Linked DNA regions of Canis lupus familiaris. The protein of the gene in region 1 interacts with the protein of each later gene in a biochemical or structural test. Links are inferred from orthologs where the notes say so. Each region holds a gene or a part of one and is shown on either strand. Other genes may lie near its edges. The genes, in order: NEDD4, PPARG, WBP2, ESS2, PMEPA1, NDFIP2 and MAP3K2.

What was found.
Region 2: of the proteins of NEDD4 (region 1) and PPARG, one has a biochemical effect on the other in vitro, tested with the Homo sapiens proteins (2 studies listed by BioGRID). The link is inferred for Canis lupus familiaris from reciprocal best matches to the Homo sapiens genes NEDD4 and PPARG.
Region 3: of the proteins of NEDD4 (region 1) and WBP2, one has a biochemical effect on the other in vitro, tested with the Homo sapiens proteins (6 studies listed by BioGRID, with this or other methods). The link is inferred for Canis lupus familiaris from reciprocal best matches to the Homo sapiens genes NEDD4 and WBP2.
Region 4: the proteins of NEDD4 (region 1) and ESS2 interact in a test that uses a peptide from one of them, tested with the Homo sapiens proteins (2 studies listed by BioGRID and IntAct, with this or other methods). The link is inferred for Canis lupus familiaris from reciprocal best matches to the Homo sapiens genes NEDD4 and ESS2.
Region 5: the proteins of NEDD4 (region 1) and PMEPA1 form a complex in vitro, tested with the Homo sapiens proteins (2 studies listed by BioGRID, with this or other methods). The link is inferred for Canis lupus familiaris from reciprocal best matches to the Homo sapiens genes NEDD4 and PMEPA1.
Region 6: the proteins of NEDD4 (region 1) and NDFIP2 form a complex in vitro, tested with the Homo sapiens proteins (3 studies listed by BioGRID, with this or other methods). The link is inferred for Canis lupus familiaris from reciprocal best matches to the Homo sapiens genes NEDD4 and NDFIP2.
Region 7: the proteins of NEDD4 (region 1) and MAP3K2 form a complex in vitro, tested with the Homo sapiens proteins (2 studies listed by BioGRID and IntAct, with this or other methods). The link is inferred for Canis lupus familiaris from reciprocal best matches to the Homo sapiens genes NEDD4 and MAP3K2.

The regions. Positions count from the first base shown.
Region 1 is NC_049251.1:21,460,888-21,464,387, forward strand, and holds part of NEDD4 (E3 ubiquitin-protein ligase NEDD4), read right to left. Parts: intron 1,428-3,500; coding exon 1,310-1,427; intron 1,219-1,309; coding exon 1,051-1,218; intron 1-1,050. UniProt on the Homo sapiens protein: E3 ubiquitin-protein ligase which accepts ubiquitin from an E2 ubiquitin-conjugating enzyme in the form of a thioester and then directly transfers the ubiquitin to targeted substrates. Specifically ubiquitinates 'Lys-63' in target proteins.
Region 2 is NC_049241.1:6,278,951-6,283,176, reverse strand, and holds the start of PPARG (peroxisome proliferator-activated receptor gamma), read left to right. Parts: upstream 1-1,426; 5' UTR 1,427-1,514; coding exon 1,515-1,596; intron 1,597-4,226. UniProt on the Homo sapiens protein: Nuclear receptor that binds peroxisome proliferators such as hypolipidemic drugs and fatty acids.
Region 3 is NC_049230.1:5,627,245-5,630,360, reverse strand, and holds part of WBP2 (WW domain-binding protein 2), read right to left. Parts: coding exon 3,070-3,116; intron 1,788-3,069; coding exon 1,652-1,787; intron 349-1,651; coding exon 256-348; intron 1-255. UniProt on the Homo sapiens protein: Acts as a transcriptional coactivator of estrogen and progesterone receptors (ESR1 and PGR) upon hormone activation. In presence of estrogen, binds to ESR1-responsive promoters. Synergizes with YAP1 to enhance PGR activity.
Region 4 is NC_049247.1:30,206,461-30,209,960, forward strand, and holds part of ESS2 (splicing factor ESS-2 homolog), read left to right. Parts: intron 1-2,914; coding exon 2,915-3,030; intron 3,031-3,465; coding exon 3,466-3,500. UniProt on the Homo sapiens protein: May be involved in pre-mRNA splicing.
Region 5 is NC_049245.1:43,400,093-43,404,267, forward strand, and holds the start of PMEPA1 (protein TMEPAI), read right to left. Parts: upstream 2,801-4,175; 5' UTR 2,771-2,800; coding exon 2,662-2,770; intron 1,501-2,661; exon of another isoform or gene 1,386-1,500; intron 1-1,385. UniProt on the Homo sapiens protein: Functions as a negative regulator of TGF-beta signaling and thereby probably plays a role in cell proliferation, differentiation, apoptosis, motility, extracellular matrix production and immunosuppression.
Region 6 is NC_049243.1:32,872,612-32,876,111, forward strand, and holds part of NDFIP2 (NEDD4 family-interacting protein 2), read left to right. Parts: intron 1-1,781; coding exon 1,782-1,906; intron 1,907-3,500. UniProt on the Homo sapiens protein: Activates HECT domain-containing E3 ubiquitin-protein ligases, including ITCH, NEDD4, NEDD4L, SMURF2, WWP1 and WWP2, and consequently modulates the stability of their targets. As a result, may control many cellular processes.
Region 7 is NC_049240.1:24,633,169-24,636,668, reverse strand, and holds part of MAP3K2 (mitogen-activated protein kinase kinase kinase 2), read right to left. Parts: intron 3,186-3,500; coding exon 3,037-3,185; intron 2,659-3,036; coding exon 2,527-2,658; intron 1-2,526. UniProt on the Homo sapiens protein: Component of a protein kinase signal transduction cascade. Regulates the JNK and ERK5 pathways by phosphorylating and activating MAP2K5 and MAP2K7. Plays a role in caveolae kiss-and-run dynamics.

The DNA.
Region 1 (3,500 bases):
AGACCAAGCATGTCAGTTCTTATTCACACATGTGCGCTAGTGACAGGTGTGGTATAACGAGGAAGAAAAAAAGCGACCCCTGACATGCAGGACTTGGCCTGGCACCATCAGTAGAGATCAAGACAAAATGAAGACCACCTTGTAATCATGCCTGAAGACAGAGAAAACATGAATACTGTCGAAGCCACAAAATACCAAATATCTCTCCATTCTGGCAAATGTGAGTGACTACTCCTTTTTAACAAATTATAGCTTTAGCCTCGCTATACATAAGATTTGAGACACCCAATCACAGAATCACCCCTGCTTTTTTTTTTTTTAAGTAGGCACCACATCCAGCATGGAACACAATGTGGGGCCTGAACTCACCACCCAGAAATCAAGACTTGAGCTGAGATCAAGAGTCAGATGCTTAATCAAGGGTATGGGGCACCACCTAGGCGCTCCACACTCTTGCTTCTTGACAGCATCCAATGGTTCCTTAAATCTTCCTCAAAATCACCTAACATGAACTCCAATCCTTCAAGTCTTTTTTAACATACTCTTACTGAGACATTCATGGTGTGTGTTCTTGATGAAATGAGTAATAAACCCAATTTGTTTAATTGCAAGTGTATTCCTGGGGGTCTCTGGCTGGAAGGCACTGCACTGGTTTGTAATGGATATTTAGAGTCCAGTGACCACTTGGATTATCCATGACTTTGCTCCATACTGTTAGTGGAAATATTTGAAAAAATAACCATACTGTAAAGTCTTAAAGTCCCTAAAACATTATTATATGCATTTAAGACAAAATTTTTTCATCACAAGAAAAAAAAAATGTAGCTATGTGAGGTAACGGATATTAACTAGACTTACCGTGATGATAATTTTGCTATAATATCTATCAAATCATTTCGTTGTATACCTTAAATTAATCCAATGTTGTCAATTACATGTCAATAAAACCAGAAATAAAAGACAAAATTTTATGTAAATGTTGGATACCAAATGGAATAATATATAGAATATAAAATCCTGAAGCTACAACAAAATCTAAGGGCATCTTACTGAGCTGGATACTGGCTGGCTGGTGGCTGAGTTTCTACAAATTGTGAGTCTGGCATTCAATTCTTCTGCAAGATGAGTCTGAACATCCAAGTTATTTGATGCTGGAGGTGATGGGAAGGCCTGATTGCTATACATGGTGGCTTCATCTTCTCTTATAATTTCCCAGCTCTAAAATAAACAGAATAATCGTAAGCCACACATACTTTTATCTACTGCTATAATATGTGTCTATGGACAAGAACAAGAAAATTACTTCTACCTCGGAAGACTCTCGATTATCCACACTTTCTGTTTCCTCAGATATCTGCCGTCTGGTAGTAAATGCACGCTGTGCTTGCAGTTGCATGTTACCATTCTCAGCATCAGTTAGGTTGTCCCTGGATTAGAAATATAAAAGCTGTCACCCATGTCTGCAGATAGTTAAAATGATAGTCAAAGATGCTATGACCACTTTTTTTTTTTTTTTTTTGCTGTGACCATTTTATAAAATACCTTAGATCAGAATTCACTGGTTTGGGCCAAAGGCTATTTCAATATGCATAGATTAGGTCATGGGCACATTGGTATCTTCAGGGTACCTTATGGAATTAAGGTTTTATGAAAATGTGTAACACATCTGACTGATATTTTAGTTCATCACCACACCTAGGGTAATGTTTGGCATGTAAGGGCACTCAAAAATATTTGTTAAATAAATGAATATCTGAGAGTTTCATAAGTAATTTTAGTATATTATTATTTTGCCATGCTATTATATGAATAAAATCTAGAGTAGCTATAGAGAGACTATAAAAAAGAAGCTTTAAGATTTACATATACAGCTTCAAGAACCAGACAGTAACATTTTCTGGAACTGATCTTAAGCCAAGACTAGAGTTCCCTATGCATGAACTTAGAGGACAAAATGAAATATCATGTAAGAAACTTAATAGGTTACAGATTAAATAGTATCTGTTTTTGATCATTTATAGAAATGGGCCTGGTCTGAAAAACAATAATAGTAAAAACATGACTGAGTTTAGGCAAGTTTAGTAAATCAGACTGAACACCATTATCCCACTGAGTATTATTATTCTAGCTATTTGAATTTAATATAACCAGATCATCAGATCAGATTTTATACAAATATTTAATAACAAAATTATTGTTAATTTATTTAATGCCATATAAGTCCAGGGTAGTCAAAAGACCAGCTCTTACTGCACTATTGCTAAAGAAGACTTAATTTTGACAGATGGTCATAGGGGAATACTTCAGATTTTTCTCACCTGAATACCTGATTTAGGCTAGCTGAAAGTGACATCAACCATAGTGAAAGAAATGTGAGTCCGTTCAAGTCAGGCTTGCTGTAATACTAAGGTATGCAGTAGGACAATTTTGTAGAGTTTCATAGTGTCTTCAGTTTTGCAAGGTGCACAGGTCCCTACAAAGATTGATGCTTCTGTGCCATGAAGAACCAGCATCACTGATTTGGTTTGGAAGGATTTGAGAACAGAAAATATCTATGAAAGTGCTTAGACTGTGTCAGACACAAAATGCGAGAGCTAAAAATTAGAAATTAATGGACAAATAAAAATTTTAAGTCTCTGTCAAAAAGTAGACTAATGAAAGCCTTCATAAGGCTATAAGGGAGGAGAAATGGAAGGGTATTTGATAATAAATGTGAGTAATGGGACATATGTGTTTATTTATAAATATACAGTCTGATGATAATAAAAGAAAAATGTCACTGAGAAGACATAAATTAGAATACCTCAAAGGTCATTCTATCCTTGATCTGTGTGCACTGGAAATTATGTATGTATTGACCAGATTGGCAAATGAGTGTTTAACAAAAACCTTGTTATTCAGTCCTTTATATTTTACAGGTAACTTATATGTAAAAATAGTTTACTGTAGAAATTAACATTTTATTATATTTCAGTAACAAACTACAAAAATTTCCAAGAATTTCTAAACCAGTCTAAAGAGAAAAACACATCTTCTGTGGCTGCAAAATAATTTTTAAAAAGAAGCAATTAGAAGGGTGGCATTTGTGACTCAGATAATTTTGAATGTTATCAAATCATTTTAAAAAAGAAATTGTTGGGCAGCCTGGGTGGCTCAGTGGTTTAGCGCTGCCTTCAGCCCAGGGCATGATCCTGGAGACCCAGGATCGAGTCCCATGTCAGGCTCCCTGCATGGAGCCTGCTTCTCCCTCTGCCTGTCTCTGCCTCTCTTTCTCTCTGTGTCTCTCGTGAATAAATAAATAAAATCTTAAAAAAAAAAAAAAAAAGAAAAGAAAAGAAAAAAGAAACTGTTAAGGTGGCATTTTAAAAGCCCTGGACCATAAAAATCCTCATATTTTTATAGTTTATGGGTTCCTATACTATTATAAATCCATTTGAGACACAACTAACTTCAAAATGAAAATTAGTGGTCAAAAGTGTATTCAGATTACAAATGTGAAA
Region 2 (4,226 bases), on another chromosome or scaffold:
TATTGAACCAAAAATGTTGGACTAGTCACACTTTTAAATATTATGATTGTGTCTGTAATACAAGGAAATTTCTCAGCATTGAGAGGGAAGGAGAAACTCCTTTATTGACAATTCAAGCTGAATAACCTAGTTCTACACACCTATAATTACCTCAGTCATTTGGACTGTCAAGGAGCTTGCTTTAACTTGAACTACCTTAGTAAAAGTTTCTTGGTTTTCAAAGGCTTTTAAGCAATATCAATGCCCAGTTCTCCACTTTATTCTGTGCTGTTGAGACCCTGTGAGCATTTTCCCCACCAGGCTGTTGCTGTGTGATTAACAGGGAAACTTTTGTTAGTTCCCCTGCAGGATGACCAGTTAGCTACTCAATGTAGATTAAATAGATAGACTTATTCCACTTGGAGAATACTGGGTTAAGTTGAAGGGAATTACTGCCATCTGGTATATCGCCCTAAGTGGGGGCATCTTTATTACATCCACAAGTCACTGCAATTCTATCAGGCCACTTATGTGACAAGTGGGGACCTGCTTCCATGCTGAAGTTTGGCACGGCTTGTGTTTCTCCTTGCCAAAAAGGGCAAAGGACTTGAGCAAGAAGCCAGCTTTCTCCTGATTACAAAACTGACCACAGTTCCTCGCCAACCTATCAGTGTGAGTCAATTTTTTTTTTTTTTTTTTTGGCTAATACATTATTCTTCTCAGAGAGAACTCCACTTTTTTTCATTATGACATGGCATTTATCATTTAAACATCTGCTATGTTCAGACATGGGTACAGCAGTACTGCCTTTGCCTAGTGATGGATAAACTTAATAATCAAGTGACTAAAAAAGCAAACCCTGATACACGACATCTAAACTATATCTCTCAACTACTTAATTTTATAGAATTTGTTAGTATCATTTTGGCCTTTCTAAAGTTGGCAAACAAATGCCTCAGAAAATAACATTTCAGCAGCATGCTGATGCCAAACTTTAAAATACAAGTACATGTTTTAATTAAATAGTTTTCTTCAGATAATAACAGTTTAGAGATTCAACCAGGGATGGGCAGCTACAAAAAAATGTTGTTGAAGTAAGTTTATCTGGTACTTCATAACCCAGAGATGTAAAGTTTAAGAAACAATTGAAAATTGAACAATCTCTTTGCTCCGATAGCTCTAAATACTGTACAACTCACACCCCTCACAAGACACAGAACATGTGGGTCACTGGCGAGACAGTGTGGCAATGTTTTCCTTGTAATGTACCAAGTCTTGCCAAAGCAGTGAGCAACATCATGACACAACATTTGTCACAGCTGGCTCTCTAACAGGACAGTACCAGCCAATTCAGGCCTAGTCCTTTGTGGATTTATTCCCACCTCTCCCAAATATTTGGAAACTGATGTCTTAACTCATTGGTTGTGTTCACAAGTTCTACTACTGCAAGTCTTTTTCTTTTAATGGATTGGTCTTTTGCAAGAAATAGACAAAATATCAGTGTGAATTACAGAAAATCCCTCTTCCATGCTGTTATGGGTGAAACTCTGGGAGATTCTCTCATTGACCCAGAAAGCGACTCCTTTGCTGATACACTGTCTGCAAGCACTTCACAAGGTAAAGTCAACTCCAGATACGGCTCTTGGGTTACTTTGGGCATTTATAGAATGGTAAAATTGCTCTTGTCGTTTGTTTTCCAAGTTACATTCTAGTATGAGTTGTGTCTAGGCCACTATTTTAATGTCTACTTTGCTGTGTTTGTGTTCACTTATAAGCATCAGAGCTTTGAAAAAGAAGCCTAAGCTAATCCATATTTATCTCTATGCATAGCTCCCATTTCCTGAATTTTAAGCATTAAAGGTATGTTTATATTTTTAAAGATCCTATTCATTTTTATTTTCTAGTTTTATATATTTTCCTTTTTAAAAAAATAATTTATTTATTCATGAGAGACAGAGAGAGAGAGGCAGAGACACAGGCAGAGGGAGAAGCAGGCTCCCTGTGGGGAGCCTGATGTGGGACTCGATCCCAGGACTCCGGGATCATGCCCTGAGAGAAAGGCAGATGCCCAATTGCTGAGCCACCCAGGTGTCCCTATATATTTTCCTAAATATACTTAAGGTCTTTTTAGAATACCTGGGGTGGGGGGAGTGTCCCTTTTCCCGTTTTATAGTCTTATGGTACATATCTCTCAGGCGGCTTTTATCCCTCCCACAGCATTTTTATTCCTCTTAAAGCTCTCTCAACATGTTTTTGTTCTACTTTGAAATCTAGATATTTGTACATGTTATCTTTCCAGAGAAGTGTACACTGAGTGTAAAACCAGCTTATAATCTTCTTTAGATTTCTTAGGATACCTAGCATGGTGCCTAATGCATTATAGAATAAATAGATTGTGGGGCCTCGGAGAATGTCTATTCCAAGCATTTCATTTTACACACAAAGAAAATAACATCCCTAAATGCCTATTGCATACTAAGTAAATGATTAGCTATTACTTGCACTCAAATATATAAGATTCAAGCAGATACCTCATTTTTCAAAATTCCTTTCTTGACCATTGCAAAATATAAGTTCTTCATTTCTACAGCTCCTTCTACTGGAGTTTCTTAGCACAGCTTCTTCTGTTTTGTACTGTTTCATATTTATTTCTATATTTCTGGTTATTTTTTCTCATAGATACTATGTAAAAATAGATTGTGTTAACTAGTGTGATTTGTGTTTTATAAAATAAGTGCTGAAGTGTTACAGTTAAGTCACTTCATTGTTGAAATGAATGCCTTTACATTTCAATGTGTTAATTTTTCTGGAAGCCTGAAGTTTGAACATACTAATCACTTGTTTTTTGCTTAAACACTTGGCTGTTTAAAAATTAAGAAAAAATATTTCCTGAAATACTATTTCATTCTCTTAGGGTGATTTGATTCAATATATATATCTGTCACCTGAGCCTCTTAAATATGAGTTTGGTTTCATTATATTATATAAAAATATGTTATTCTTTGTTTCTAAAAGCCATAGAAATTATTACTATCTTTCTCCAGTTATTAGTTTAGCCTGCTGATATCAGGATAGATGTGAAATAGTCCTTGAGTCAAAATTTGATAATTTTGTCTGTTTGCAAAAAATGTGTTCAGAATGTAGTGCAATAAATATTTTAGGTTAACTGAGGAAAAATACTGTTTATGGTAAGAGATAGTTATGTGATTCCAGTTAGTTTTCATTCTGTACTGATCTCTATATATTTATGTCTTGGATTTGCCCAGGGCCTAATTGTTTTGAGTCTCAAATCCCCTTCAAAGGAATAACTCAGTACTTTTCTTCTTAATTAGTACAGAATAAAATTAATAGCAATTAAGAAATGACATATTGTGCCAATTATTTAACTTTTGTTTATATGGTCTCTGATTACTTCTTATTCATGTTGTTTTTCTGTTGAAAATGTTATTCCTAAAGGCCAAACACCTATGATTGTTAACTTCAATTGCATTTAGACATATAGGGGGGCCTGAGTGACTCAGTTAAGTGTCTGTCTTTGGCTCAGGTCATGGTCCCAGGGTCCTGGGATGGAGCCCCACCTCGGGTTCCCTGCTCAGTGGGGAGCCTGCTTCTTCCTCTCCCTCTGCTGCTCCCCCTGCTTGTTCTCTCTCTCTGTCAAATAAATAAATAAAATCTTTAAAAAAAGAATTTAGACATAATCGTCATTTGCTCTTTGAGCCTATCAGAGATGAAACACTGTAGAGTTTAGGTACTTGGCTTTAATACAGTAATTAATTTAGGTGCTCCTTCTTCTTTAGACAAGGTGGGATTGGGGGTTGTTGCAAGTAGCTCGGTGCTACTTTGAAGTAAAAGTGGCTTGTTGAGTGTGAATGATCCAGATGTCCAAGCCATATGGGTCATATTCATGAGATTCAAAAATTTATGTAGCCACTATGCCCAAAGAGGACTTCTGTGCTTTTCCTGGGCTCCATTATCACAGTGACCTCCTGCCTTTATCTTATTCCCCTATTTTCATCATGAGCTTCTCAAGTAACCCCAAGTAACCCCATTCTGGCTCTGAAACCATTTCCACTAGTAAAAATTGGCAAGACTGAAGGGAAGCTTCCACAAACTGAAGCTGAATATGCCTCCTGCTTTTAGTGCCAGACTTAGTCCTGTGTGAATTCTATAATTTTAAAGTGTTGCACCAGAGCATTGAAAGATGATGACATGCTTGTCCTTTGGAGCTGATTGAGCAATGGAAATAT
Region 3 (3,116 bases), on another chromosome or scaffold:
ACAGTAAAACGTCTCGGAGTCCAAAGAGCTGTGTCAAGATGTCCTATCCAGGCTCCAGACAGGGTAACCCAGCCTCTGAGATACAGGCCACAGTGACAAGCTAATGACAAGCTTCCTTCCCAATTCCCAGCCTCGGTCGGCCCGGGGCCCAGAGACTTAGCTTAGTAACAAAAAGTAAACAAACTCAAATGAACAAACTAAAACCCACAGGTTTCCAATATATGTTTTCACCCCGCACTTTCAGAGCCGGGATACCTTGAGATGCCACCTGTAGCATCCGCTGTCCAAACTCGATGGCGCCCCCTGCCGTAAAGGTCAACTTGTATGACGCAGCGCCTTCCCAGCCACCTGGGAGGGGAACAGGGCATTACTGGCTCAGGAAAAAACACAGATTACAGCTGAAGAGATGGCTCTGTTCCCTACAGGTCTCCTTCCAGTGCCCGTGGGGAGAGGGCTGGCTCTGCAGTGCCTGCCTTCCCGCCAGGCTGCTTCTGGTGCGCTGCCCACACAGCATGTGCCCGCTGCAGGCTGGCCTGTCTTCTGCTCCTGCCTGCTTCACTCTCTCGAACAGGGGGCTTTTCTTTCTTGGAACTTGTTATCCCACCCCCAGCTGTATAAGTTCCTCAGCGAGAGCCTCCCACTCATCAATGAGGCAGCTTCCCCAGAGCAGGTTTCCTCAGCAACAAGTGACATTCAAGTTCAGAGCATCTCTCTCCTCCTGAGGGGCCTAAGGATGGGCCCCCCGCTCCTCCAGCCTGGCTTCTGCCAAAGGGGAACCATGAGTCTCTAGAGAGCAAGGCCACCTGGCTGGGTGGAAGGGGGAGGCCAAGTTTAACACAGAGGTCTCTGGTGTCTGCAGAAGAGCCTGCTGCCAAGCAGGGCCTCTCCAGGAGGCAGAGGGGCCGCTGGCTCTTCCTGGCTCTAGAAAAGACCATTCCTGAGGGACGCCTGGGTGGCTCAGTGGTTGAGCGTCTGCCTTTGGCTCGGCGTGATCCCAGGGTCCCAGGATCGGGTCCGACATTGGTTTCCCCACACAGGGCCTGCTTCTCCCTCTGCCTGTGTCTCTGCCTCTCTCTCTGTATCTCTCGTGAATAAATAAATCAAATCCTTTTTTTTTTTTTTTTAAAGATTTCATCTATTCATGAGAGACACAGAAAGAGAGAGAGGGAGAGGCAGAGACACAGGCAGAGGGAGAAACAGGCTCCATGCAGGGAGCCCGACGTGGGACTCGATCCCGGGGCTCCAGGATCACGTCCTGACCCAAAGACAAAACGCTCAACCGCTGAGCCACCCAGGCATCCCAAATAAATAAAATCTTAAAAAAAAAAAAAAAAAAAAGACCATTTCTGAGAGTCTGACACGTCGTTTCCCATACCTAGAATGTGAACATGCTCCCCGGTTACGGTAAGCATTTATTTTTCAGTCATTTGGCTGATTTCACTCTGAAAAGGTGACATGAGCTGCTTTTAATGTCAGGATTTCTTAGCTCTTGTCATTCAAAAACCCACCCCTGCTGACCAGCTCGCAGCCCAGGGTTGGGTCCTGGAAGCCAATCCAGAGCCAGGAGGAAGAGGATATCTCCGAGACAGTAGAGGTGTGCCCCAGCACCTCCCTGAGAGCCCATCTGTGGCCCTGAGCCCCCTTCACCCACCTCCTGCTTCAGCTTTCACTGTTCCCTTGATGTAGTTTGCACCAAACACAGGCTGCTTGATCTCACAGTCCTTCATCAGATAAAATGGCATCATGAAAGACTGCATGGCATCCTTTCCTTTGGACAGAAAGATAACCTGCACGGAGACAGGAAGAGAGCCTTCAGTGGCCACACCACGGCCAGCCCGCTCAATTATCACTTCCCAGCAGCCCTAGGGCACACTCTGCACCAGACACTTCCGGAGAGAGCTCTGTAAGTGAGAGGGCCTACGTGCGGCCTGGCTGGAGAGGCTGAACGTGGGTGTTCACGAGACAAACACACCACTCACAGGTCACATGAGAGGGACAGGCTGCTCTGCCGTTTAAGTGGTGGCTGTGGTACGCAAGTGAGGGGAGCTGTAAAGCTAGGGCAGGGGGGCAGGGTAGGGCAGTGCTGACTTCCAGAAGGGGGCTGGGAGGCATAGCCTGAGCTTCACAGAACAGAGTGAAGGAGAGGTAGGGGGTGTTGGGTCCCAGGAGAAGGGGGCTGCCCAAACTGCAAGTCTCCCAGCCTGCACTTGGAAAACTACGTTTTAAACCCTTCAATCTGTGACTGAAGATGCCACCAGAAAAGGGGTTTTGAGGCTCCCTTGTCTCTAAGTTGCGGTGATGAAAACCTTAAAGATATGCCGCTCTCTTCCAACCATCTTTAAATCTAACTCTTGGGACGCCTGGGTGGCTCAGTGGTGGAGCGTCTGCCTTCGGCTCAGGGTGTGATCCCGGGGTCCTGGGATCGAGTCCCATATCGGGCTCCCCGCAGGGAGCCTGCTTCTCCCTCTGCCTTTTTGTCTCTCACGAATAAATACATAAAATCTTAAAAAAAAAAAAAATCTAACTTTTGGTAGCTACAAGCAGTGAACCTTTTCTAAGAATGGCCATTTGTCTTTCTCTGGAAGACTCTCAGTCGGCCTGGCTCAGTCTCAGGCAAGGCCCATCCTGCAGTTGGGCACTTCTCGCTCTGCAGGGCTGTGCTGGGCTTTCCGCCCAGACTGGAGGCTCCGGCCATGCTACTATGTCCTGTTTTCCGTACTTGTCACTCTGGATGTGTACAAAGGCCTTGTGGGCCCTTTCTGCTCTCACAGAAATCAAGGTACAACAGCCCCCTGCTGCCCCAGGCCCCAGTCACCCCAGCTGCTGCACACAACAACATAGATTTTACAGTAGTGGTTCCAGAATTTTCATGGATTCAATGCCCAGGGGTTGGTTCAGCTGCCCACAGAGTCTGCTGATTCTAGAACCTGGGAGCACATGACAGAAACATGGGGAGGGCTGGCCACAGGTTCAGGGGCCACTGGACCCATAAGGCTGAGGCTGACATAAGACTCACATCGGCCTCCAGGAACCATGGGCTTGCAAACCCACCATCACTGTGCAACTCACCCGGTAAGGAGTAAGGTAGACGGTGCCTTTCTTGGTCCCTTTGAAGG
Region 4 (3,500 bases), on another chromosome or scaffold:
CTGCACTTCTGAATAAGACCAGAGCACTGCGCACAGGTGTGGGTGAAGGGAGGGACTCCGGTGTGGGGCTAGGGCACCAAAGCTATGGCCCTCTGAGCTTGTAGGCCTGTGGGGTGGGAAGGGCCCTAGAACCCCAGTTTTCCATGGGATGTGGTTTGTGTCCTCAGAAGGATTGCGTGCTTGCAGAGAGAGGCCTCCGGTTAGAGAGCATGAACCAGGAGGCACCAGTTTTGTAGAAGTTGTCAGAGGGGGTGTTTCATGAGGCCTGGACCAGGTAGGGTGGGGAAGCTGGGTGCCAGGTGGTTTGTGGAGATCGAGTGGCCTAGGCAGGCCCCAGAGAGGCTTTGGGAAGGCAAGGTGCTCCGGTATACACACAGTTTGTTGGGGAAACTGAGTGACTGGTGTAGTTTGGAACAGGAAGGAAGAGAAGTCGCTGGAAGCTGGGAGCATGCAGTCCTGTTCTCAGGGTGCTGGGCCAACACTCCCTACCTGGATTGCTAGGAAATTGCAGGAGGCAGAAGTCAGTGTTGTTGCAGAGAACAAAGGGTGTGGGGTTACATCATCTGCTTTGAAATCCCAAAGGGTTAGGCATGGAACCTGCCATTAATGTAGGTCTGCCGCGTGGGGAGCTAGGCTAGAGGTTGTCTTGAACTGGTTCCTCTAAACACTTGCAGTGTGTAGTTTGAAATGCAACAGAAAAAGAGATCTTGGGACGCCTGAGTGGCTCAGCGGTTGAGCGTCTGCCTTTGGCTCAGTGCGTGATCCCGGAGTCCCAGGATCGGGCTTCCTGCATAGGGCCTGCTTCTTTGCCTGTGTCTCTGCCTCTCTCTCTGTGTGTCTCTCATGAATAAATAATCTTTAAAAAAAAAAAAAAGAAAAGACAAGAAATATCTCATTCACTGTAGCAGAAGAAGTTCGGACTAACTAGCAGTAACTTAGCTTTCATAAAGAAACCACAGGCTAGTGCTACAGGCTTATGTAAGGAAAATCAGAGAGTGTGGGCCACACTATGCTGCCTCCCCGTAATAGCACTGCTCTCGTTCAGAGAAGGAACACACATCCAGACAGAATGTATGCAGAGGATTTTGGCACCTTGGTTCTTAAATTTGTCTGGGACCCGAGGATAACCAAGAAAAACCGGAGAGGAGCCTGTGCCAGCAGGTGTCAGGGCACGCTGGGGGTGTGGGGATATCACAGGTCTTCCCCTGGTCCTGGAGCCTACCAGGCAACAGGGAAGAGATCATGAACAAACCTCAGTCCAAATCCGAATTCAGGGTACCTGAGAGACGACCGTTCAAGCTGTGCTGAGCAAGAGCATTTGGACATAAAGTGCTTGGTACGCACGGCAGAATGAGTTCCCGAAGTGGAAGGGTTAAGTACAGAAAACGTAAATACAAAACAATAAGAAGACAATAATAGTCAATGTTGTTTTTTTTTTTTTAAACCTCCCATCTCTAAGTGCTAGTTTTTGTTTTTGTTTTTTTTAAGATTTTGTTTATTCATGAGAGACACAGAGAGAGAGAGAGGCAGAGACACAGGTAGAGGGAGAAGCAGGCTCCATGCAGGGAGCCCGATGTGGGACTCAGTCCCGGGACTCCAGGATCATGCCCTGGGCTGAAGGTAGTGCTAAGCCGCTGAACCACCCGGGCTGCCCAGTAGTCAATGTTTAATCTGAGATAAAGGTAGGAAGGAGTAAAGCAAAGAGAGACATCATGGAAGAGATATGGAAGCGAGGTGTAGGTGATACCATGTGAGGTGTAGGCTTAAGTACAGCAAAAAAAAAAAAAAAAAGTCATGAATGACACTGAAAGCAAATAACTGAGAAGGAGTTTGTTTGGCAGAGCTTAATGTAACATTAACTTAGAGTAAAACCTTAAGAAAGCAAGCACTTTATTTGTTTATTTATTTATTTATTTATTTATTTATTTATTTATTTTTTATTCTTGAGAGACAGAGAGAGAGAGAGGCAGAGACACAGGCAGAGGGAGAAGCAGGCCCATGCAGGGACCCCGATGTGGGACTCAATCTGGTGTCTCCAGGATCACACCCCAGGCTGAAGGCAGCGCTAAACCACTAAGCCACCAGGGCTGCCCCTAAGCAAGCACTTTATTTATTTATTTTTTAAAGATTTTATTTATTTATTCATGATAGTCACAGAGAGAGAGAGAGAGAGAGAGGCAGAGACACAGGCAGAGGGAGAAGCGGGCTCCATGCAGGGAGCCCGATGTGGGATTCGATCCCGGGTCTCCAGGATCGCGCCCTGGGCCAAAGGCAGGCGCCAAACCGCTGCGCCACCCAGGGATCCCTAAGCAAGCACTTTTTTTTTTTTTTTTTTTAATTTTAATTTTTATTTATTTATGATAGTCACACAGAGAGAGAGAGAGAGAGAGGCAGAGACACAGGCAGAGGGAGAAGCAGGCTCCATGCACCGGGAGCCCGATGTGGGATTCGATCCCGGGTCTCCAGGATCGCGCCCTAGGCTGAAGGCAGGCGCCAAACCGCTGCGCCACCTAGGGATCCCAAGCAAGCACTTTAATAGAAAAATAAGACAAGGATCTATTTCGGGAAGTTCTGGAAAGAAATAGAGAAGGTCAATGGAAGTTAAAGTCAACAGGCAGTTTATTCTGGTAATCAGAGGAAAGCAGATTCAAACCAGACCGCCTTTTTCCTAAAAGACTGTCGGGTTCGTAAGTTGGCAGTGCTGGCTTGTGGGGAACTGTGAGGACAGGTGGGAGGCCTGGGCCTTTGCGGGTGGGCAGCTCACCAAGCTGGTCAGGGGCCTTCCGGGGGCTTTTAGGGAGGCAATAATGGGTTGTGAGGATCGCAGGGGGCCACGGGAGAGAGGCAGGTGCCCCAGCAGCGAGGGACTGCCTGACCTGGCAGCAGGCCACCCACACACCCACTTGCCTCATAGATCTTGGAGCCTGGCCGCAGGGAACGGCTGGGGCTGAAGATGGCCAACGAGGCTGCCGCCAAGAACCGGGCCAAGAAGCAGGAGGCCTTGAGAAGAGTGACGGAGAACTTGGCCAGGTATGAAGTGCCTGACCCCACCCAATGCAGTGTGGACACACACTGTGCAGGGCAGGCCCAGGGGTCCTGTGCCGGTTCCTGTGGCGGCTCCTCGGGTCCAGGGCGCAGCCTTTATGAACCAGGATGCAGGCCCCTCTGTCCTTTCCTTCAGCCTCCTCTCGGCACATCTCTAGGGCCCCTTGTCCCACTTACGCACACCTGTCAGCCCTGTGGGAGCAGGTGTATTGTCCTCCTTGGAGAGACAGGGTCCATCCAACCCCACAACTAAAGGCAGCACCACTACTTGACCTTAAGTTTGGCTACAGTGCTGTATGGTCAGCCAGTAGTGACCACACATCACCCATGTATCTTCCTGTGGGGCCATGGAAAGCCCTGCTGCTGGCAATACCTGATCAGGCCTAATGGTGCCTCTTTCACCCACCCCTTCTACCCCAGCCTCACCCCCAAAGGCCTGAGCCCAGCCATGTCCC
Region 5 (4,175 bases), on another chromosome or scaffold:
CTGGAGCAAAGCTTCCCATTGCCACCTTCAGGCTCATCTATAAAGCCCGAGCCGGCCAAGGCTCCACCCAGCTCTGAGATTTGGGGCAACTGTACACCACCCCAGGGACCCAGCACTGTTCCGGGGGAGGGGAGCCACCGTTGGCATGGAAGCCTCCAGCCAGACTTGGGAGGGCAGAGGCCCCATCTTGAAAGATGGTAAGCTTTTTAAATTTCAACCGTCCAGATCTCATTTTTCAGATGAGGAAACTAAGGCGATTTAAGGAACCAACCAAGGGCCACCTGGACAAGGCCCCGCAGCCCAGCTCCAAATCCATCTCTGACGTTCTGCTTGCGAACAACCCCCCAGCTCGTATCACATGAAATGTGGCCTTTCTTCCTCACTTCAAATTTTCCTCCCCATCTTTTTTGTATAAAGAAACTCCAGGCCTTCAGGCTTCCTCACCAGACCCTTTCGGGGAAATCTGATTAGCACTTGTAACAAACTGTTACATTATACCTGCATTTGAAAGATCATTTCCCTTCCTGCCCTGGGCTTTCTTCCAGTAAGTAGGGGGCCGTGTGTAAAAAATACACTGTGCACGGTGACTCATGTACCACCCTGGGGCCAGCTGGAGCAGGCCAGGGTTCCAGGCGCTAACCTCCAGGGCCCAGCTCAGATGCCCGCCTGGGGGAAGCACACGGGTTGAAGGCGATGGATTTAACAACACCTTGGTGTCAGCCAAAATACCATCAGGGCTGAAGAGCCTAACGAGGGACAGGAATAAGAATGAATTTAAAAAAAAAAGTCCTGAACACAAAGGAAGGACAAGAGCAAAATGCCTGTGTCCAGTCCTCCTAAAGACAGATTCCATAGGTTCAACACAATAGCGGGGACCCCTGGGGTGGGGAGCGCCCTAAGGCAGCTTTACAGAAGAGGGAAAATGAGGCACCTCGGGTACTTAAACAGCAATCCGTTTAGCACCGGCGAGGCTCTCTCCAAACATGTGCGAACATATTTTAATAATATCCTCGTGCATTTCATTAGCCTCCTGAGTTCATAAAGGGCCTTTGGGAAGCAATCTGGTTTAATGCAACTCAGTTCCGCACATGCTGGCTCTGGGCAGGTTCTCCTGGCACCTCGCTGGCCTGGCGCAGGGCGGCTTGGGGGTTGGGGGTGGGGGGTGGTTGGGGACAAGCAGGCTTTCCATCCCGGGGCTGGAGGGAGGGGACGCTCACGGATGGAAGGACCCACCACTCAAGCTGGCCTGCCTGCCCCGGCAGGGCCGGTCACGGGTTATTTTTACCTCTTGTGCCTCACTCTACAGGCTCAGGGGCCACGCACTGTGGCAGCCGCCTGCGGAAACTGGCTTATGAGTCACCCAGTGACTGCCCTGCTCAGTGGTGGCCGCCTCTGGCTCCTGGTCCCAGCTGGAAGAAGGCTGGCCCTGGCAGGGGAGGGCTGTGTGCTCCCTTGCCTCGGTGCTTAGGGGTGAGGGTAGGGAAACCGAAGCCCAGAGAGGTAAGACCCCCCCACACACACACACCAAAGGATGGGCTGGGGGTGGGGGGTGGGGGGTGGGGGTACAGGCTAGACGGCGCTCCACCCAACCCAACCTCTACCCGAGTGGGGTCCGAATGGCGGAAGTAGAGGCTTATTTGTCTCAACTTCTGGGTGCACAGGGAGAGTTGGTGCCAAGCTGCCAACACCCCCTCCCCACCCTCGGTCTATCTCCTCCTTTCAGGGCCAGGCGGTCCCAAACACAGACAGCCCCAAACTTTGACTCATTTGTAACCACGGTCCCAGCCAGGCTGAGCCAAGCTGTCCAGACAGAGGCTATTTATAGGTGCGTCGGGGACACAGACACTCACACAATGAGACACACACTCCAGATCCACCTTGGGCCAGACCCACCGGCGCGGAGCCCTGGATCCAGACACCTGGGCACAAACGGTCCCCAAGCCCCCAGAACGATGCACACGCTCCGAAGAGGCACCCCGACCGGGCCACAGGCAGGGGCGCAGGAAGACTACACATGCCCGGGACAGACTGCGACCCAGACACACAGACACAGAGAGCCACGGAGACGCGCCAGACCCAGACAGAGACACACAGACACGCACGCTCCACAGACGCGAGGAAACCCACTCGCACAGACCGAGACAGAAGCGCCACGCACACTCCAGACACACACCCGGGGCCCCAGACACCCCGCAGGCCAGACAGCGTCTCACACGCCCGCCACCCCCTCCCCCTCCCCCTCCCCCCGCCCCCCCCCCCAGCCAAAGTTGATAAAGAGCCGGCCTAATTGCTCCACCGAGACTGCCCCTCGGGGAAATAAAATGGAAACTTCGCGGACCCGGGCGCCCCGGCCCTCCCGCGCCCCGCGCCCCGCCGCCCTCCCGGCCGCTCGGCCCCGGGTCCGAGGCCCCTCGGGCGGGGCGCGGGCAGCGGGGGCCGTGCCAGGCTCGCCGCGCCGCGGGACAAAGCCGGGCCGGCCGCCAGCTGCCGCGAGCCAGGAGGGCGCGCCCCGGGCGCAGGGCGCACGGCCCGAGGGGGCGCGCACGGCCCGGGCCCCCGCCCCCGCCCCCGCCCCCGCCCGCGGCTGCGGCTGCGGCTGCGGCCGGCCTCGGGGTCCCAGCCCGACGGGGCCTCCGGGGAGGGGGGCGCGGGGTCACTCACTGATCTCCATGCTCTGGAACAAAGAGCGTTTGCAGTTGCACGTGCAGGAGACATTGGGCTGCCCGGCGGCGAGGGCGGCGGTGCTGTTGGTCCCCATCAAGCGGTGCATGGACGGCGCGGCGGCGCGGCGCGGGGCGCGGGGGGCGCGGGGGCGGCCGGGGGGGGTTCCGGCCGGCGCCCGGCGCTCGGGCCCCGCATGCAGGAGGCGCGCGGCGGGGAGGGCGCACCCCGGCTCGCCGGGCTCGGGGCGCCGCCAAGTTCCCGGGGCTCCGCGGGGCTCAGTGCGCGCGGCCGCGCTCCCCTGCGCCCCCCGGCCGCCCCTCGGCAGCCCCGGGGGCGTCGGCAGTGCCCGCGGGTGGCGTCCGGGAAATGGGCCGGCAGCCGGGGCGCGCGCGGCCGCCGGGGCTGAGCCTCCGCCGCTGGCTTCCCGCAGCCGAGCGCCTCCGCCGCCGCCGCCGCCTCCTCCTCATTCAAGTCCAAGGAGATCGGGTTTCGCTCCGAGACCGCGGTCGGAGGCAGGCAGACGGTCTGACGTCAGCGCTAGACGGGGCTGCCGGTTCCCACCGCGCGGGGGCCGGGGAGGGGGCGCGCGCTGCGCCAATCCCCGCCGAGGTTCCCCCGCACCCCCTTCCCGGGCCGCGGGGCGGGGTGACGGGGAAGGGGGCGGGCTCTTAAAGGGCCAGAGCGAGGCGGCCCGCGTAGACCCGGGGCCGGCGGGGCGGGGGGCGGGGGGCCGCGCAGCGCCTCCGCCCCTCCTGGGGCCGGTTGGGGGCCGGTGGCCCGACCGGGGCGCCCGGGGAAGCGCGGCTCGCCGGCACCCTCGCCCCCGCGCGCTGCGGGTGCGTCCTGGGTCCCCGGGATCCTCGCCCCAGGTTTAGGGGAAGCCTGTCCTCTCCCAGAGCAGGTCCCTGGACTCAGGGCACGGGGAACTGGAGAAGATGAGGGGGGTCCCCCATCACCCGTTACCTAACACCGAGGCCTCTAGTCCCCTGGCGCCCCCCGCTGCGCACTTTACCCCGACCCCAAGGAGGTCGCCCGGGGAAGGCTGGAATTCGTGTAGACACGCCCCGGACGGCTCCGAGAAACGCCCGGGAGCCCTTGTCATGTAAATACGTGTCCTGGGACTCGAGTTGCGACCCGGCCGGCAGGGCCGGGGGCGAAACCCCTGCGGTCGTCTGCTGCCCCAGGGGCCGCCGGCTGGGGGGCGCGCCTCCTGAGTTCAAAAGACGGGGGCGGGGGGCGGGGGGAGGGGGAGGAAGTGCGGGGGTGTCCTTTTATTTCATTAAGTTTTAATTACACAAGTGTTACAAGAACACATTCTCCTGGTTTAAAAAGGAACGGAGCTATTACGTCAGAGGTCCTCTCCCTGGCACACCTCCAGACTCCACAATGTGGTGTGGCCCCTCCTGGACCTCTGCTCCAGTCTCTATTTTGCATGCGCTTGGGCAGCGCCTACCTAGTGCCAGGAACTCGCCAAATAGGAACTCAACCTGGTACCTACTCCCCGAGACGGG
Region 6 (3,500 bases), on another chromosome or scaffold:
AGGTAGAAGATAGCAAAATCAGCATCTAGTATAAGAAAAAAGAAAATTGAGTGTAAGCAAGTTTTATTTCCAGTAGCATCTCCTGATTTTTTTTGTGTTTTTTTTTTTTTTTTCCGGAAAAGATATAACCTACTGTATAAAAAATATGGGTACTAATAATGGTTAACATTTCTTAGCAATCACTGTGCCAGGTTCTTTACTGTGCTAAGCCCTTTAAATTCATTATCTCACTTAATCCTCTTATCAGCCTTGTGAAGTAGATCGTACAGATCAGAGAACTGGCTCACAGAAGTAAGCAGTGAGTCCCAGGTCATGTATCTAGTGAGTGATACATGTCACATTGTGATTCAAACACAAGTCTCTTAATTTCAAAATGCATTCTCCTATTGTATCATATAATATAGCTTACTATAAATGATCAAGAAAGCTGTGCCTAGAAGGCATTAGGAAGGAAGAAATTATAGGAGTAGGAAAATTGCTTTGAATAAATAGCTATTTTATTTAAATTTATTCTAAAATGTTTCCTCTTTGTCTTCAGAATCCTGAAAAATCAGCATTTCTCTATGTTTTCCCTGAGGGTTAGTTAGAGATATTGAGGATAAGAGGATGGGCACTGAACAGGACCAAAGTCCTGCTCAAATTGATTTTCACTTTTATTATCATTTCTATTATTATCTTAGACACACACAGATAGCGCATTCTGATGATATCTCAAGGACCTGTGTCGGAATGGTTTCTGCTACAAGTTATAGAAAACCCTTACTCAGCTGTTTTAAATAGGTGGTTATCTCACAAAACAGAAAATCCATAGACAAGGGGATAGACAAGCAGACTCAGCCACAGCAAGTATTAGTTCTGTGGCTCTGCTTTTCTTTCTCTTCACACTCTCTAGCCCATGTGGAGTTATACTTTAATCCTCTGGCTGAGGGCAAAATCCCTGCAGCATTTCCAGGTGTTATATTCAAATTAGAAATCCAGTGGATAAGGGGGATTTTTTTTTTCTTTTTAACATTTATTGTAGAAATTCTCAAACTAGGCAGGAGTATAACCTGTATGTATTTATCACTCAACTTCAACAATGATCAATTTAGAGCCACTGTTATTTAACCTATATTCCATCCTCTGTCTCCTTGATGTGTTTTTAAGAACCAAAGAATGCATTTCAAAGTCCTATTAAAAAAAAAAAAAAAAGTGGCAGGGGCTCCTGTGATTTTCCCAGACTACTCAGGACCCCTCTCTTTTGGGGTTAAGTATATGATCTAGCCTTCCTTAAAATAAAGACTCTGTTGGTGGGTGGGTTCCAGAAAAGGGGTAAAAGTAGGTTTTGTTAGATAGGAAGAGGCAATGAACAGTACCTCCTCTGGAAACATTTTATAATTTGTTTGGCTTATCTTTAATATTGCTTTTTAAAAAATCCAGTTTAGTTAGTTGATTGCTTAGGCTGGAATTCTTGGGTGGGATCACATGGGAGCTGAGCTACATTATGACTTGATTTTTAGCTGGTTTAAAAATGCAGTTTTACCTATTGATAAGTTTTAAGGAATTGATTCCTGTTGACCAGACTAACAAGAAACCAAGCTTATCTGTTTGTTAATGTGTAATTAATAACCAATATATTTGCAAAAGGTAAACTACGGCCTATAAAGAAGATTTAATTGGTACAAAGTCAAAAGAAAGGGAATTCTTACTTCCATTGTGCAATGAAGTATTGTTAATATTATGTCTCTGTTAATTTGTTTCCAAAGTGTGGTCCTTAAAAGAACTATTTCTCTTGCTTTTAGTGGCATTTATTTTCAACTGGCTTGGATTTTGTTTATCCTTCTGTATCACCAATACCATAGCTGGAAGGTATGGTGCCATCTGTGGATTTGGACTTTCATTGATCAAATGGATCCTTATTGTTAGGGTGAGTGTCTTAATAGCCTCTATCACTTTGATCTCTAAAATTAAAATCTATGAAATTTCTTGTGTGGTTCATAAATATTCCTTTTACATATATGAATCAATTATTTTGAGGCTTATCTTTTATACTTATTGTAGTGATCTCTGTGTTAACATTTTGATGCTTTATTATATGAGAGCTTACTATGGAAAGAGCTTTGAAATCAGAAAAAAATTTGAGTTTGAATCTTACTTATATCAGTGTCCTAACTTTAAATTTTTAAATTGTTCTGAGAATTTCTTCCCAATAAGCTGGTATTAGCTGCCTTTCAGGATTTCTGTGAGGCCTAGCAGTAATATAATTAAAGCACTTGCCTAGTTGCTGCACAAATACAGGTGCTTGGTAAGCTGTGGCTGCATCTGCTGTGATACAGTGCACACATGCCTAAAATCAGGTAAAACATAACATTTTCTGTTGGTTAGTAAAATTCTCAAGGACTTAATTTCATCTTCTCACTCTTTCTTTTTTGAGAGCTCAAAAAACTAAGACCTGTGAGGTGTCTATCTGAACTCACCCATTTTCTGTTATGTTCCCTTTCCACCTTTCTTATTTCCCTGTTGTTCCTGGAATTCACCCTTTATCTACTTCTTAGCACTTACCACATGGTGTGTAGGGAGATAATGCTAAGTCTTTATCCCATATCAACAGTTTGTCCCAAAATAATTTTCTGTAACCATTCCAGTGGCAGTAGCCCTGTTTGCATAGTCTTCCCCCACTCTTTACCTTTGCCTCTTGGAGGCCCCTTTTAGATCCTTTGGTTCCTGTTACAAAGCCTTTTCCCTAATTTCTTTATGTTAGACCTAGGAGAATGATCAAGAATGGTTTGGGGGCACTGAATGGCTCAGTAAGTTAAGCATCCAACTCTTGATCTCAGTTCAATTCACATCTTGATCCTCAGGGTCATGAGTTCAAGCCCTGCATTGGGCTTACCTTAAAGAAAAAAAAGAGTGATTTTATTTATTTTTTTAATGAATTTTCTTAAAAGTAACCCACATATTTACATGCTACTATACAATTGATAAAATGCTTAATTTCTACAAACATATTTATTTAAACATTGATTTCTAAATGAGTGAGTCACATCCTCCTAAAATATTCAGTAGAATCACATACTTAATGTCAGCTTCTCTTAAGTGCTTCAGACACTTCAGTTATGTACCTACATCAGCAAATTGATTTAAAAAATTAATATTGGACTTAATGTGTTTCTTCATTATTTTTGAAGTTATGGCTTCCCAGAGTTTCAGTAATTTTATCAGACCTCATTCATCTCTGTTCAGACCAAATTATAGATTTTGGTTATTAATCAGTTGATTCTTGGGTGCGACATGACTTGGCTTCTTCTGAGATGATTAAAACCTGAGCCAGTGTAAGAACAGCCCCCTGGCGGATTCTTTTTCTAATTTCATTTAAAAAAATGTGAAGTGGATTCCCACCATGAGCATAAATGTGTTAAGATGTTAGCATACAAAGATAAAGCACAATCCCTGCCCTGAAAAAAGTTATTACTAGAAAAACCTCAAAATAGTTGAAGTTAATTGTGTCCAATGGTTATTAT
Region 7 (3,500 bases), on another chromosome or scaffold:
AGATGCTCAATCACTGAGCTACCCAGGTACCCCCATCCTACTAAATTTAATGAGAAAAATTATATAGCATCATTCACAAACTTAGAAATTCAGTAATGTCTAAGATGATGTACATCTGGCCCATATATGCCTATGCTTGGCATATGTGTAATTCATTTTAAGACTGATGAACTATTATTAATTTAGTAAAATGATTTCAGTGACAACCTATACTTTGAAGAGATAGCTGCCTTTACAAAACCAAGTAAAGTTAATGAGAAACATGAACTAACATCTCTCCTGAATACACCACCTTAGTCTTAAGATTCCTAAATCTATAAGATTACTCATCTCCATTTGTGATGTAAATCAGTTCTAGCCAATTAAACCATTTAATCTTATCTTCAATAATGTGGGTCTCTATTCACACTTAGAATTAATTTTTCTTTTTTTAAAACTATTTTATTTATTTATTCATGAGAGAGACAGAGAGGCAGAGACACAAGCAGAGGGAGAAGCAGGCTCCTGATGTGGGAATCGATCTGGGGACTCCAGGATCACACCCTGAGCCAAAGGCAGACTCTTATCTGCTGAGCCACCCAGGCATGCCTTAATTTTTATTTCTAATTCAGATATTTATTGCCCAAACAGTAATGGAAATCTAAATAAAAGAAAAATCAATCATAATCTCAACATAACACATTTTCAAGTTTCTTGGGTCCTTGTCCAAATACAGATATTTTTAAAATAGCCTCATTACTATTTAAAAGCATTTTATATTCTTTTTCTTACTTCTTCCAACTTTGCTACATAGCCTTCGTGATTTTAATATATTCTCTTGGGCAATGCCATCATAATTTACTTTCACTGTGAGTACTGATATTTCCATCACAAATTTGTTTTCCAAAGGTACTTAAAAAACAAACTAATTTACTTTGTCAACAGGATCTTTGAAAATACAAAGTAGCAGTGATGTGTAACTATAAACAATTGTGTCACTATAAAAAATTAATTAATTATTCATGATAATAAGAAAGTAAACTTAACTGTTGATCTTATGAAACTGGATGATTAAGACTATGACTATCAGATACTGATCCATAGTTTTACAGATCCATAGCTTAAACTGCAACCTTGTACATGAAACATACAATTCTAATAAACAATCTACTTAGGGAAACCTGCGTGGCTCAGCGGTTAGCCTGCTTCTCCCTCTGCCTATGTCTCTGCCTCTCTCTCTCTTTGTACCGCTCATAAATAAATAAAATCTTTTAAAAAAATCTACTTAAAGACCCATAAATCAAATCAGGTAATATACCATATATACTACCAATTAAATTATACGAATGCATGTATTTTTAAATGAGTAAATATACCACCATCTTGAAAATCATTAATACTAAAATGTACTCTACAAATACTAAAAACAACATAGAAGGAATGACAGTTTGCAAGTCACATTTTGCAGCTCCTACCGAAACTACTGACTCAGGCAATGATTACCAATCTGTATTAAAAACCTGGAAAAGGATGGTTTGAAAAGGAACTGGAAACTGTGTTCTTTTTATTCTTTAAAGATTTATTTATTTGAGAGAGAGAGAGAGAGAGCACGTGAGTATGTGAGTTGGGGGAGGAGCAGACGGAGAGAATCTTCAAGCAGACTGCCCACTGAGCATGGAGCTGAATGTAGGGTGCAGGGTTTAATCTCACAAGCCCTGAGATCATGATGTCAGCTGAAACCAAGAGTTGGACACTTAACCGACTGAAATACCCAGGCACCCCAGGAACTAGATAGTCTTATGTGCTAATAGCCCAGATTACTTTCTGGTCCTCAGGAATAAACAAAACCTTACATTGGAGAAATCTGGATGTTGATCATCCTAACCTAGCACTCAATCTTTGCATCACTAACAGTAGAACCATTAGAAATTGTATGTCTCCTAATGCGATGCAACACGAGATGCACAGCATCATTAGAATGCATCACAGATGCACCTAATAAAAAATGCTGAATCTTAATCTAATTTAGATATTAGATCTAACTTGGAGTTTATAGGAAATAAGAGAATAAAGGAACAAATTAAACACTACCATGAGGATGCAATTAGAGAAATCTATGAGAGGAGATTGTCAACAGAACTAGCCCAGTCTCTTTGTCAAACCTATGTCATGTAAAAAATGTTCTAAGTTAAAAGAGAAGTAAGAGGCATAACAGTTAAAGGTAATGTGTGGTCCTGGGCTGGATCCTGGTTTGGATAAACCAGCTATTACGGTTATTTTAAGAGCATTTAGGGAAATCTGAGTATGGACTGCTATGGTACCTATAACTTTAGTATACCTCAGCTTTTTTTTTTTTTAAATGAGTTAAGAACTACAAAATGAAGATACAAAAAAAAATTATATTACATAGCTCTAATTTAAAACTTTCAAAATGTCTTTAAAGTCCTTAACTACTTTACATTTTATAATCAGAGTTCTGTTGTTTTTCTTTCCTCAACTAAGACTTTAAAGAGAAAATGTCTATTTTTAAAGGACATAACAACTTACCCCTGGCATATATTCCATAAATATGGAAAGTGTTTTTTCCTGGGGATCCCTCAAACAGCCATAATACTGAACAATTCGCTCATGCAGCAAGTTTTTCAACAACTGAATTTCACACTCAAGTGCATTTACTTCCTGAAAGACAGAACTCACTGTTAAGTCTTTATAGCATTGCTAGTTAAAAGGAAAACATTTGAACTTCATGGACCATCGAGGTGATTTCATTCTGAAATTTTTACTTCCCAAGGAATAAACATTTTAAAGTCTCTAAACAGTAACTTTTATAACAGTCCTTGATGGTATACTAAAGCAACCCTAAATTAGATAGGAACATTACGGAGCACTAAAAGAGAAAAAAAAAATCACAGTACAGAGTAAACAAATATATCTAATTATATATGGATTTGTTTTGCAAATAATTTGTATTAAGAAAAAACAAAAATTCTATTGTGTTATATTTAGTAAAAATGCTTTTTATAAATGTGACAAAGTAGCTTGTGCAGTGATTCTTACCTTGCTGGTCTCAGGGCTATCAGGGTCAAACTGAACTTGCTTAACTGCCAATTCTCTTCCTGTATCGACATCATAACAGAGGTAGACCCTGCCAAATGCTCCTTGGCCAAGCAGTTTGCCCAATCTCCAGTTTGTTGGAGCACGAGGTGCTAAAAAAGAATGTTTTCTTAAAATGGAATAGCCAGATGGCACACAAATAGTTACAAACTAAATGAGTAAACTGTATTAATGATATCCTTAACTGAATACACTTGGATATAAGGGAAAATCATAATCATCCAAATTCATAATGATCACCACTTTGTAAATTTTCCAAGAATTCTAAACACAAATAAGGTTCATATATCCCCACATCTTTTTTCCAGTGAGATTATATCTGCTCCCCATTAAAAATGTAAAGCATCTTTCACTGAATCCAAGGTACCACTGATTGTCAGATGCACTATTTTTAATCTTTACTGCAG